4 linked regions of the Saccharomyces cerevisiae S288C genome follow. The protein of the gene in region 2 binds, or shares a complex with, the protein of the main gene of each other region. Each region holds a gene or a part of one and is shown on either strand. Other genes may lie near its edges. The genes, in order: RSM19, MRP21, MRPS18 and MRPS16.

Evidence for each region.
Region 1: MRP21 (region 2) and RSM19 share a complex: the UniProt entries of both Saccharomyces cerevisiae proteins name them as parts of the mitochondrial small ribosomal subunit.
Region 3: MRP21 (region 2) and MRPS18 share a complex: the UniProt entries of both Saccharomyces cerevisiae proteins name them as parts of the mitochondrial small ribosomal subunit.
Region 4: MRP21 (region 2) and MRPS16 share a complex: the UniProt entries of both Saccharomyces cerevisiae proteins name them as parts of the mitochondrial small ribosomal subunit.

Annotation. Positions count from the first base shown.
Region 1 is NC_001146.8:694,552-697,087, forward strand, and holds RSM19 (mitochondrial 37S ribosomal protein uS19m RSM19), read right to left. Parts: upstream 777-2,536; coding exon 501-776; downstream 1-500. Other genes in the region: mitochondrial 37S ribosomal protein uS12m MRPS12, read right to left, coding at 1-271; putative ATP-dependent RNA helicase DBP6, read left to right, coding at 1,044-2,536. UniProt on the Saccharomyces cerevisiae protein: Component of the mitochondrial ribosome (mitoribosome), a dedicated translation machinery responsible for the synthesis of mitochondrial genome-encoded proteins, including at least some of the essential transmembrane subunits of the mitochondrial respiratory chain.
Region 2 is NC_001134.8:47,021-49,915, forward strand, and holds MRP21 (mitochondrial 37S ribosomal protein bS21m MRP21), read left to right. Parts: upstream 1-1,804; coding exon 1,805-2,338; downstream 2,339-2,895. Other genes in the region: phospholipid metabolism-regulating protein SCS22, read right to left, coding at 1-38, 127-160; MAP2 (methionine aminopeptidase), read right to left, coding at 343-1,608; AVT5 (amino acid transporter), read left to right, coding at 2,554-2,895. UniProt on the Saccharomyces cerevisiae protein: Component of the mitochondrial ribosome (mitoribosome), a dedicated translation machinery responsible for the synthesis of mitochondrial genome-encoded proteins, including at least some of the essential transmembrane subunits of the mitochondrial respiratory chain.
Region 3 is NC_001146.8:56,592-59,308, reverse strand, and holds MRPS18 (mitochondrial 37S ribosomal protein uS11m MRPS18), read right to left. Parts: upstream 1,155-2,717; coding exon 501-1,154; downstream 1-500. Other genes in the region: BXI1 (Bxi1p), read left to right, coding at 1-411; serine/threonine/tyrosine protein kinase MCK1, read left to right, coding at 1,736-2,717. UniProt on the Saccharomyces cerevisiae protein: Component of the mitochondrial ribosome (mitoribosome), a dedicated translation machinery responsible for the synthesis of mitochondrial genome-encoded proteins, including at least some of the essential transmembrane subunits of the mitochondrial respiratory chain.
Region 4 is NC_001148.4:528,376-530,887, forward strand, and holds MRPS16 (mitochondrial 37S ribosomal protein bS16m MRPS16), read right to left. Parts: upstream 976-2,512; coding exon 610-975; downstream 1-609. Other genes in the region: CIP1 (Cip1p), read left to right, coding at 1-317; mRNA-binding protein RRP12, read left to right, coding at 1,348-2,512. UniProt on the Saccharomyces cerevisiae protein: Component of the mitochondrial ribosome (mitoribosome), a dedicated translation machinery responsible for the synthesis of mitochondrial genome-encoded proteins, including at least some of the essential transmembrane subunits of the mitochondrial respiratory chain.

The sequences.
Region 1 (2,536 bases), on a different chromosome or scaffold from region 2:
CCACGTTCCCGTTAGTCAAACGGACCCTGCACGCCTTTCTCTGCGCAGAATTCGGCTTCTTGGGCTTTAAAACCATTACACGTAATACGACACCCTTCCGCTGGGGACACTGATCCAGTTGTGGAGCTGTACTTATCTTCTTGCGTCTTGGAGGCCCGGAGCCTCTTTTAATCTGATTCAATGTCGCTTGCATTGTCGTAGTGGAGGAAAACAATCTCTGCGCCTGTCTCAAGGGCGTACACCATGTGTTGGACATAAACCTCGACAACATGGCTCTTGTTGGCCTGCTTCAATTCTGGTGTACCTGTAAGTTCTCCGTCTTTTCCCTGGTTATATGCGTTTTTTCTCCCCAAATCGTTTTGTCGCTCGGGTAAGACTGAAATGCTTTTAAAAGCACTATTACTGTTTATTATGCTATATATATATATATATACAGCCCGAGTCTGGCTTGATCTTATTTACATGATATATCATCTAGAAATCTATATACACTAGATCCCTCATTTGTTCTTGGTTTGAGTATAGCTGAAACGCTTCCTGGTAGGTGCGAACTCGCCCAGTTTGTGGCCCACCATATCTTCTGATATTTCAATAGGTACGTACTCCTTACCATTGTGTATTTGAAATTTCAGTCCCACGAACTGAGGAAGGATGGTGGCGGCCCTTGCGTTTGTTCTTATTGGAGTGCCCTTAGTCATGGCCTCCCTTATGGGTAATGGCACGATGTTGGGGCCCTTCCATACGGACCGCGATAAAAGTCTAGCTGCCGGTTGCATTTTATTTTTGGTGGACACTACTTCTGCCGATGCTGTACTGCTCTTGCAATGAACCTCACCGTTTTAAGTCATGGTTAGATTCTTACTAGGCGCTTCCAATTGCCATTTCTTGCTCAGCCATAACCGTGAATAGTGATCCAAACGCTAATGCCGGGTGATGCTTAAAATTTGAAAAATTATTGCAGATTTGTATTATATAGAAAGCATAACTGGCGATGAGATGTGCTCGAAACTGGACACCTTTACCATTGGTGACCGGTAGTGACAATGTTTGCATCGAGATTTGACCCTAGCCAATTGACTGCTCCTGCAGCTAGCGCACCAGAAGGAATCGTCGGAACTACTCCCCCGGCCATTGTGCCTTTAAAGAGGCAGGCTACTGAATCTGATAATGAAGAATATGGCTCTCACCAAGATTCTGATGAGAGTTCCAACTCTAGTTCAGAGGAAGACGAAGACCGTATGCAAGTAGATTATGGGGCTAGTGAAGAGGATTCGAGTGAAGTGGAAGAGGAAGAGAGTAAGCCAAGTACTCACAGCACAGTGCTATCGAGATTCAAGCAAACAGTATCATTGCAAGAAAGGCTAGGTGCATCTGATATTGCTGAGAGTAAGGAAGACGAAGGTATTGAAGACGAGGCGGCCTCAACTCACCAACTAAAACAGATTCCTCAACCTGAATTCGTCAAAAACCCAATGAATTTGAATACAAATTCATTACAGTTCAAATCTACGGGTTGGTTAAATACTGAGAAGATATATTATGATAATTCCTTGATCAAACCGTTCTCGGATTACGCAAATGAATTAGAAGCAAAACTACTGCAGAATATTTGCAAGAATTTCTCTACAAACACTTTTCCCATCCAATCGATCATCCTAGACTCCATATTACCGGTATTGAACTTCACGTTGAACGTATCTAAGAGAAACTTCACCAGAAGAATCGGTGATATTCTTGTAAATGCTGCTACCGGTTCAGGTAAAACTTTGGCTTACTCCATTCCTATTGTTCAAACCCTCTTCAAGAGACAAATTAACAGACTGCGTTGTATAATCATCGTCCCCACAAAACTATTGATAAACCAAGTTTATACTACGTTGACAAAGCTAACTCAAGGGACGTCGCTTATTGTGAGCATTGCCAAATTAGAAAATTCTTTGAAGGACGAACACAAAAAATTATCAAATTTGGAACCAGATATCTTAATCACTACACCTGGTAGATTAGTAGATCATCTAAATATGAAATCGATAAATTTGAAAAACCTAAAGTTTTTGATTATCGATGAGGCTGATCGTCTTTTGAACCAGTCCTTCCAGGGCTGGTGTCCAAAACTAATGTCCCATTTGAAAACGGATAAATTAGATACACTTCCAGGGAACGTGATCAAAATGATCTTCAGTGCGACATTGACTACCAACACAGAAAAGTTAAACGGCTTGAACCTTTACAAACCAAAGTTGTTCCTGAAGCAAACCGATAAATTGTACCAGCTACCTAACAAATTGAATGAATTTAACATCAACATTCCCACGGCGAAAAGTGTTTACAAGCCATTGATATTGTTGTATTCAATATGCCAATTTATGGCACATTCCCCCATTGCTGCAAAGATTTTGATTTTCGTTAAATCAAATGAATCGTCTATCAGATTAAGCAAGTTACTACAACTTATCTGTGAATCTCGCTCACAATCCAGCGTATTGAAAAACCTTCAAAATTTGGCGGTGAGTATTAATTCTGTCAATTCAAACAA
Region 2 (2,895 bases):
GAGCTTTATATACTCTGTTGATTGTTTATTAAGGGGAGCTGAAGTATTACATATTAGTAACCTGTTGCATCGCACCAAAAAAGGTAGCAAAGTTTCCCGCACACTAGCAATTCTCGTCAAACATACCCTTGAACACCAGCTTTTCTGGCACTATTCTCATTGTTTACTCGTCTGAACTAGTGCTTATATTATCTGTCGTCATACCACTGTTTGAGACCCCCATAGGTCTTATATAAGGTAATGCATCATTCTAAACGGGCGGCAAGCCATATTAAACTATCTATATAACTACAACAGTATTCATATACCTAGTGAGGAGGCCATTTGAAAGCGCATTTTACCTCAGTAGTCATCACCTTTCGAAACGACTTCCTTTTTGTGAGCATGCAACAAGATGGTGTGTTCGAATTGTGCAGTGTAGGATCCGGGGATATCGTTCAATGGTGGATAATCCTGTACTAAACCGTGTCTAACCAAGTTATTCAACGCAAATAAGTATTTCTCTTGGCCAAGTCTGTCTAGGTATCGGCGACAGAACGGTAAAGTCCCAAAGTTGCGGTCTATCGTTTTTAACAAGTTCTTGGCGCTGTCTAACGTGGGCATTACCTGATGGTCTTCAGCAGATCTGGCATAATGAGAAACTTCCCCACCGGCAGTAACATAACCTCTACCAGTAGAACCAAAAGTTTCAATGGCAAAGTGCTCACCTTCCTCCATTTTTGTAGTGTCCCCATTTTTGACGATGGGAACGGATTTACCGCCGTGGATACGATATGGTGCGATACTGTGGCCACATAGATTACGACAAGGTTTAACCTGGTAAGTCTCACCATTGATTTCCACTTCGTAGGATTCCATAACTTCTTGGATGGCTTCACCGATGTCGGTTAATCTCACATCGATACCCGCTTCTTTAATACCCGTGTAAGTAGCGTCCTTTACAGCGGCTAGCAGGTTATCGTATTGTGGATCAAAGGAAACAGTAAAGGCAGAATCAATGATGTTACCGTTTACCTGCACACCATAATCTACCTTCATCACGTCTTCGTATTTCAGAACGGTTTTGTCGCCTGCATTGGGTGTGAAATGTGCAGCACAATGGTTGAGAGAGAGACCCGTTGGAAACCCAATACCTTGAGATTTGGGATCCTCCATCGCTAATAAATTTTCGGCACCTGTATACTTTCTTGTAGTATTTTCGATCATGTCAGCGATATCCATTAACTTCATCCCAGGAACGATTCTGTCCTTGATGGCCCTTCTCACACGACGATGTATCTCAGCACCCTTTCTGACATCATTCCAATGTTCGGCCCTTTCCAGATCCCTTTTCAAATAACGTGATTCTTCATCCGTGGTTCTTTGCAGATTGAAATCTTGATGATAGTCCATCCACGCACCTTCTGGGTACTTTCCATCTGGAAACAGTAATTCAATCTTCTTCACATTGCTTTTCTTCTTCTTCTTTTTCTTGTTCTTCTTCTTTTTGCTTTCTACTGGGTCTGACTCGTCAGCTTTTGCCTGGTCTTGCTGTTCAACGCCTTCATTCTCCAAATTCAATTCTTTTAAATCAGAAGCAGGGGAATTTTCTATTTCAGCGTCTGTCATTTTTCAATACGGTAGAGCTTCTACAGTACTTGTTGATGTAAAAGCCCACTTATTAGCTTCTTGCTATGGCTTCCTTTCTTTTTTAAGTTCGCTTCTTTCCCAAGATTGAAAATAAAAAATAAGTGAGACCAGGTCATTAAAGGTCCCTTGAAGAGTAAAAAATCTGTCAAATATCACCCATAAGAGCATAACCATAATGTTGAAGAGCACGCTGAGGCTTTCAAGAATCTCTCTCAGAAGAGGTTTCACAACGATCGACTGTTTACGCCAACAAAATTCGGATATCGATAAAATCATACTAAATCCAATCAAATTAGCTCAGGGAAGCAACAGCGATCGTGGCCAAACCTCTAAAAGCAAAACTGATAATGCAGATATTTTATCAATGGAAATTCCAGTAGATATGATGCAATCTGCTGGGAGAATAAACAAGAGGGAGCTTCTATCCGAGGCGGAAATTGCTAGAAGTAGCGTGGAGAATGCACAAATGAGATTCAATTCTGGAAAATCTATAATCGTGAATAAGAACAACCCTGCAGAATCATTTAAGAGATTAAACAGGATCATGTTTGAGAACAATATTCCCGGAGATAAAAGAAGTCAACGGTTTTACATGAAGCCGGGGAAAGTGGCTGAATTGAAGAGATCTCAAAGGCATAGGAAGGAATTCATGATGGGCTTCAAGAGGTTGATTGAAATTGTTAAAGATGCCAAGAGGAAAGGATACTAATCGTACCATCAACTCTTGAATATTGTGAAATTTTCGCCATTGATTTCCGTCTTTGTAAATAGGTAATGCGTAACTATTTAGTTAAATTTTTGTATATTTTTTATTCTATGACTTCACTTATCCATTATTTCCATCGTCAAAAAAAGGAAATAAATACTGTTGCTCGAACGAACAGCAAGATAAAGTGGAAACGAAAAGTAAGCAGCTTCCTCAATATGCCGTCAAACGTACGTTCGGGAGTCTTAACTTTGCTCCATACAGCATGTGGAGCAGGCGTACTTGCAATGCCGTTTGCATTCAAGCCATTTGGGTTAATGCCTGGTCTGATAACGCTAACATTTTGCGGAATATGTTCCTTATGTGGGCTGCTATTACAGACTCGAATAGCGAAGTACGTACCTAAATCTGAGAACGCCTCGTTTGCTAAACTCACCCAACTAATCAATCCGTCAATAAGTGTAGTGTTCGATTTTGCCATTGCTGTTAAATGTTTTGGCGTTGGTGTATCTTACTTAATTATTGTTGGTGACTTAGTGCCACAGATAGTGCAGTCAATT
Region 3 (2,717 bases), on a different chromosome or scaffold from region 2:
TCGCTGGTAACCTTAGCGTACGATAAGGATACAGTACTTTCGGCTCTGCTGATCACCACCATCGTCGTAGTCGGCGTTTCCTTGACCGCACTATCAGAGAGATTCGAGAACGTGCTGAATTCCGCAACGTCAATATACTATTGGTTAAACTGGGGTCTATGGATTATGATCGGAATGGGTCTCACGGCCTTGCTTTTCGGCTGGAATACCCACTCTTCCAAGTTTAATCTGCTTTACGGCTGGCTTGGTGCCATTTTATTTACCGCGTATCTTTTCATCGATACGCAACTGATTTTTAGGAAAGTGTATCCTGATGAAGAAGTTAGATGCGCCATGATGCTTTACCTGGACATCGTCAATTTGTTTTTGTCTATTTTAAGGATTTTGGCCAACTCTAACGACGACAATTAAAAAAAGGGAAAAATCGAATTATTTACACGAATATATATATATTTCTTCTTCTTTTACATAGTTTATAATTCATACATAGTGGGAGCTGATCATAGTCTTCTCATCTTTGGTGATCTTACACCACCAAACTTCAATTTGGTGGCATCGCTGATCTTCACAACCTTTTTCACCACACTGGCCCCTTCCTTACCAACAAGAGCGGAAATAAAAGCAGCTCTGCCCTTCCCAAAGTCGTCCATCACCACTTCGATATCTTTGTTCAGCATGTTCTTTTCCTTAATCAATTCAAACATTCTACCACTGGTTTGAAATGCAGCTTCATACTCCCCTCTTGCTGCCTTCCTAAACCCTAAACAACCTGTAGATAGCGAAATCTTCACTTTCTGGGGTAAGTTCAAATAGTACAGCATTGTATCATTATACGTAAGTCCCTTATTCTTATGAAAGTTCTTGTCCTCCACAACGCTTGAAAATGTCAAATGCGTGTTATTTTTAGTAAACTTGCCATGTAGAATGTACTTAACTACTTCCTCTTTGGGCTTGTAAACCTCACTACTACCATTTGACTTTGTCAAAACTGAGTCAGAGGACGAAGGATACGAGATATTCGTGATATCCTCCTGATTTGAAATATCCTTAAATGAAAAAGGAACTCCTCTATTCGTGCCGGTAGAATTCCATCTTCTGATAGGCCTGACAAACTGCGTCCATCGGCAGCCTTTCCAAACAGGTTGTAACAGCATCACACGTAACTATAACAGTTCACACTGTCACTTTTTCTTTTCAGAAGAACCACTGCTTTCCACCTGATTTACTCTCATTTTGTCTTCCCTCTTTCCCAATTCATCGTTATTATGCCAAACAGTCACGAAGTACGAAACAAACACTCTCCGCTGCTATAGAAAGTTCCAATCTTAGGCTGAATAATGGAATACTAGTAGCTCAGTGATTATCATCATAATTGAAGCTATCATTAAAAAGCATGCAGCCATATTATGCAGGAATTATATGATCACACGTAGCTGTAGTGGCTTTCGAAAGCAGCATTCTTGCTTCCACTCAGTTCGTATGTAATGACAGTTCAGTGACCCACAAACAACACTGAAAAAAGCGACCTTCATATGCGGAAGAGGGCAGGCGTAACCTCCAAGGGAAAACGACATAGATTTCGCAAGTGAGTGCCATTGTGTCGTGTTAGTAGTGTGGGCAGGCCCGTAACGTGTTTATTGATAGGAGTTAAGCCCAAGACTACAGAGTTCTTTGCTTCATCTTTCAATTTTCTTTTTATTTTCCGAAACCCCCACTCCATCACATTCTAGTACATATGTCTACGGAAGAGCAGAATGGTGTTCCTCTGCAAAGGGGATCTGAATTCATTGCAGACGATGTAACCTCGAATAAATCGAACAACACGAGGCGGATGCTGGTGAAAGAGTACAGGAAAATCGGTAGAGGTGCCTTTGGGACTGTTGTACAAGCATATTTAACCCAGGATAAGAAAAACTGGTTGGGCCCCTTTGCAATTAAAAAAGTCCCTGCTCATACCGAGTACAAGTCCAGGGAATTACAGATTCTGAGGATTGCCGACCATCCAAATATCGTTAAATTGCAGTATTTCTTTACTCATTTGTCCCCGCAAGATAATAAAGTTTATCAACACCTTGCCATGGAATGCTTACCAGAAACTCTACAAATCGAGATTAATCGTTATGTGACAAACAAGCTAGAAATGCCATTAAAACATATCAGGCTATACACTTATCAGATTGCCCGCGGGATGCTTTATTTACACGGTCTTGGCGTTTGTCATCGTGATATCAAACCATCCAATGTTCTTGTAGACCCGGAAACCGGTGTCTTGAAAATCTGCGATTTTGGGTCTGCCAAAAAATTGGAACATAACCAGCCTTCAATTAGTTACATCTGTTCAAGATTTTATAGAGCGCCTGAATTGATCATTGGTTGTACCCAATATACCACCCAGATCGATATATGGGGGCTTGGTTGTGTCATGGGCGAGATGCTTATCGGCAAAGCCATATTTCAAGGTCAAGAACCCCTTCTACAGCTAAGGGAAATTGCTAAATTGTTAGGTCCTCCCGATAAAAGATTCATTTTCTTTTCGAATCCGGCCTACGATGGCCCTCTATTTTCCAAACCACTGTTCTCGGGCTCTTCGCAACAGAGGTTTGAGAAGTATTTTGGCCATTCCGGTCCAGATGGTATCGATCTTTTGATGAAAATATTGGTCTACGAACCACAACAAAGACTGTCTCCAAGAAGAATCCTTGCCCATCAGTTCTTTA
Region 4 (2,512 bases), on a different chromosome or scaffold from region 2:
CCAACGTCTCAATGAAGAATAGAAATGGCTCGTCCCAGTATATTTCAGAATTACAACCACAACCTATCTTAGCCCGCACAAATTCTAACAATAGTGTTAGCAACAGTAATGCCTTTTCTTTACTCACGCCAACGCCTACAACAGATTCCGCATTTAATTTTAACATAGCTCTGCTATCGAGACAACGTAGCAATATCATATCGTCCCCCTTAGCTAGTACTCGTTTACCTACAGCAAACGTGTCCACTGAAGAATCCTCTATTTTACCAAATGAATCATTGAAGCTAAAAAGAGATTTATTGCGTCTTAAAAGGTAAATAGTGCCGAACAGTCAGGAGCACACAATACATGACCTATAATGACACTATCTTAATGAAATTCTATTACACTTTCTCTTTTCTTCACATTCGATTAAGAATTTAATTTATTCCATTTCAAGTCTCATTCTCCATTTTCTGGTTGGCCATAGATGTATTATTTACAAGTCTGATAGATATAAAAGCGCCAAGTAAAACATATATACAACATATACATATACACCTCGCATCAATTAAAACACGTTCCTTTGCTTTCCTTTCTTTTTCTTTTTTTTTTTTTTTCCGATCTTTTTCACTCCAATGTTTCCATTCTTTCAAATACAACTTTCCTATTCACATTGCTGTTCTTACTAGTGGCCCATGCATCATTTAATATACCAGCCTTTCGTAATAGTTTAGTAACTGTTTCGCTAGGTTGTGCTCCCACACCAATCCAATATTTTGTTCTATCAAAATCAAGCTTCACGTCTTTAATAGGTACAACGCCCCTCTTCAATTCTCTCTTGGTCACTGGGCTGGGTACCGGCACGTAGGTTCCTAGTACCTCGATCGGTTTAGCATCCCTCGCCTTACGGGAATTAGCCACTACGATATTATAGACCGGACTATTTTTTCTTCCAAATCTAGCTAACCTTATTCGTACTAGACCACAGGTCATACTTGATAAACTCTATTACAATTTCTTAACGGAATACCAGTCAGAACTCCTCCGTTACTTAAGTCGTGTATATATTCCCCTTCCTTTTTTCTTACAACTGTTCTTGGTGTACTATTTCATTTTTTCCGTCCTGAATGATAGATGATCATAATTAGTGAAAATTTTTCTTTTCGCTGCAGTGTTTAAAATTTTAATTATATCATCTCATCTCATCGCGCAATTAGAACTTCCTCGGTCGCAGTTAATTCTCTCAGAGAAGAGTTTTAGTTTGAAAAGGTTCAACTTATTTTTTTACTGATTGAATTCAACCAGGTAATTTCTAGATTTTGAACAGCATCTCGCGAATTGAATCAGCAAATCTCAGAGTTCATCATGGATCAAGACAAAGTTGCTTTTCTTTTAGAGCTGGAGGACAAGCTGGCTAAAATTCGTTCCCAAGTAAACTCTAAATTGGAGAATCAAAAGCATATTGCTATAATATTAACTGCCGTTGAGGAAAATATTGCAGGTCAAGCTACAAATGATGTTTCAAAAAACATTGTAAATTATATCATTTCCTTTATGTCACTATTGGATCAAGCAGTAGACCCATCTACTCATGAAATAAAAGATATTCAATTGGCTTCCTCATCTACATATCTTCTAGATCTGATATTTCATTATTCGCCTAAGGTATTATTAAGATCGAAGTTTTCTGAAATCCTAACGAAAATTGCCCCATGTATCACTGCAGAAAAGGCTAATGCCCCTCTAATTAGAGCTGCTATTGGTTGTTTAGAATCTCTTCTTATTGCTCAAGATGCACAAGCCTGGAACAATACTTATGATCTAAACGTCACTCCAAAAAGAGGTTTGCAGGGTATACTTGAACTTTCTTTAGATGTAAGACCAAAAGTTAGAAAGAGAGCGCTAGATGCAGTTCATGCGGTCTTATTAAACCCTCCTGTTGCACCAACTGCAGAGCATGTAGCGGCAGTTTTTGTAGCAGATTTCTGTGACAAGCAGTTAGCAGGTATTTTAAATGATCTCTCGAATTTATCAAATAAACAATTGAAAGCACAGAAAACAAAGGAAGACATTAACGCTAGTGTCATGCGCTCTCTAAGGTTGATTACTTCAGTCGTCTCTACTGGACAGTGGCCATCTTCACAGATTGAGCCTCTTTGTGATGTACTATTGGGAGTCACCAAAAGCTCAGAGCAATATCTCGTTTCTGCATCATTTGAATGTTTTGAAAGCATGTTCAAAACAATGGCAGAAACTACCATTTCTTCTGGATTGGCTGAAAATAAGTACCTAAGAGTCTTGGATACCATTTTTGCATTAAAACCCTCAAATGTCGATACATTATTAACCAAGTCCTGGATTGCTGTGGTCATTAAGGGTATGTCCACTTACGCAACACATCAACCACTGAAAGCGCTACGTAAAATTCCTGGTGTATTTCACATTATGTGCACATATTTAGCTAGTGAAACTCCAGAAGTGTACCAAGCTGCCTCTCAATGTCTTATCTCAATCCTTTCTGAGTCTGTTA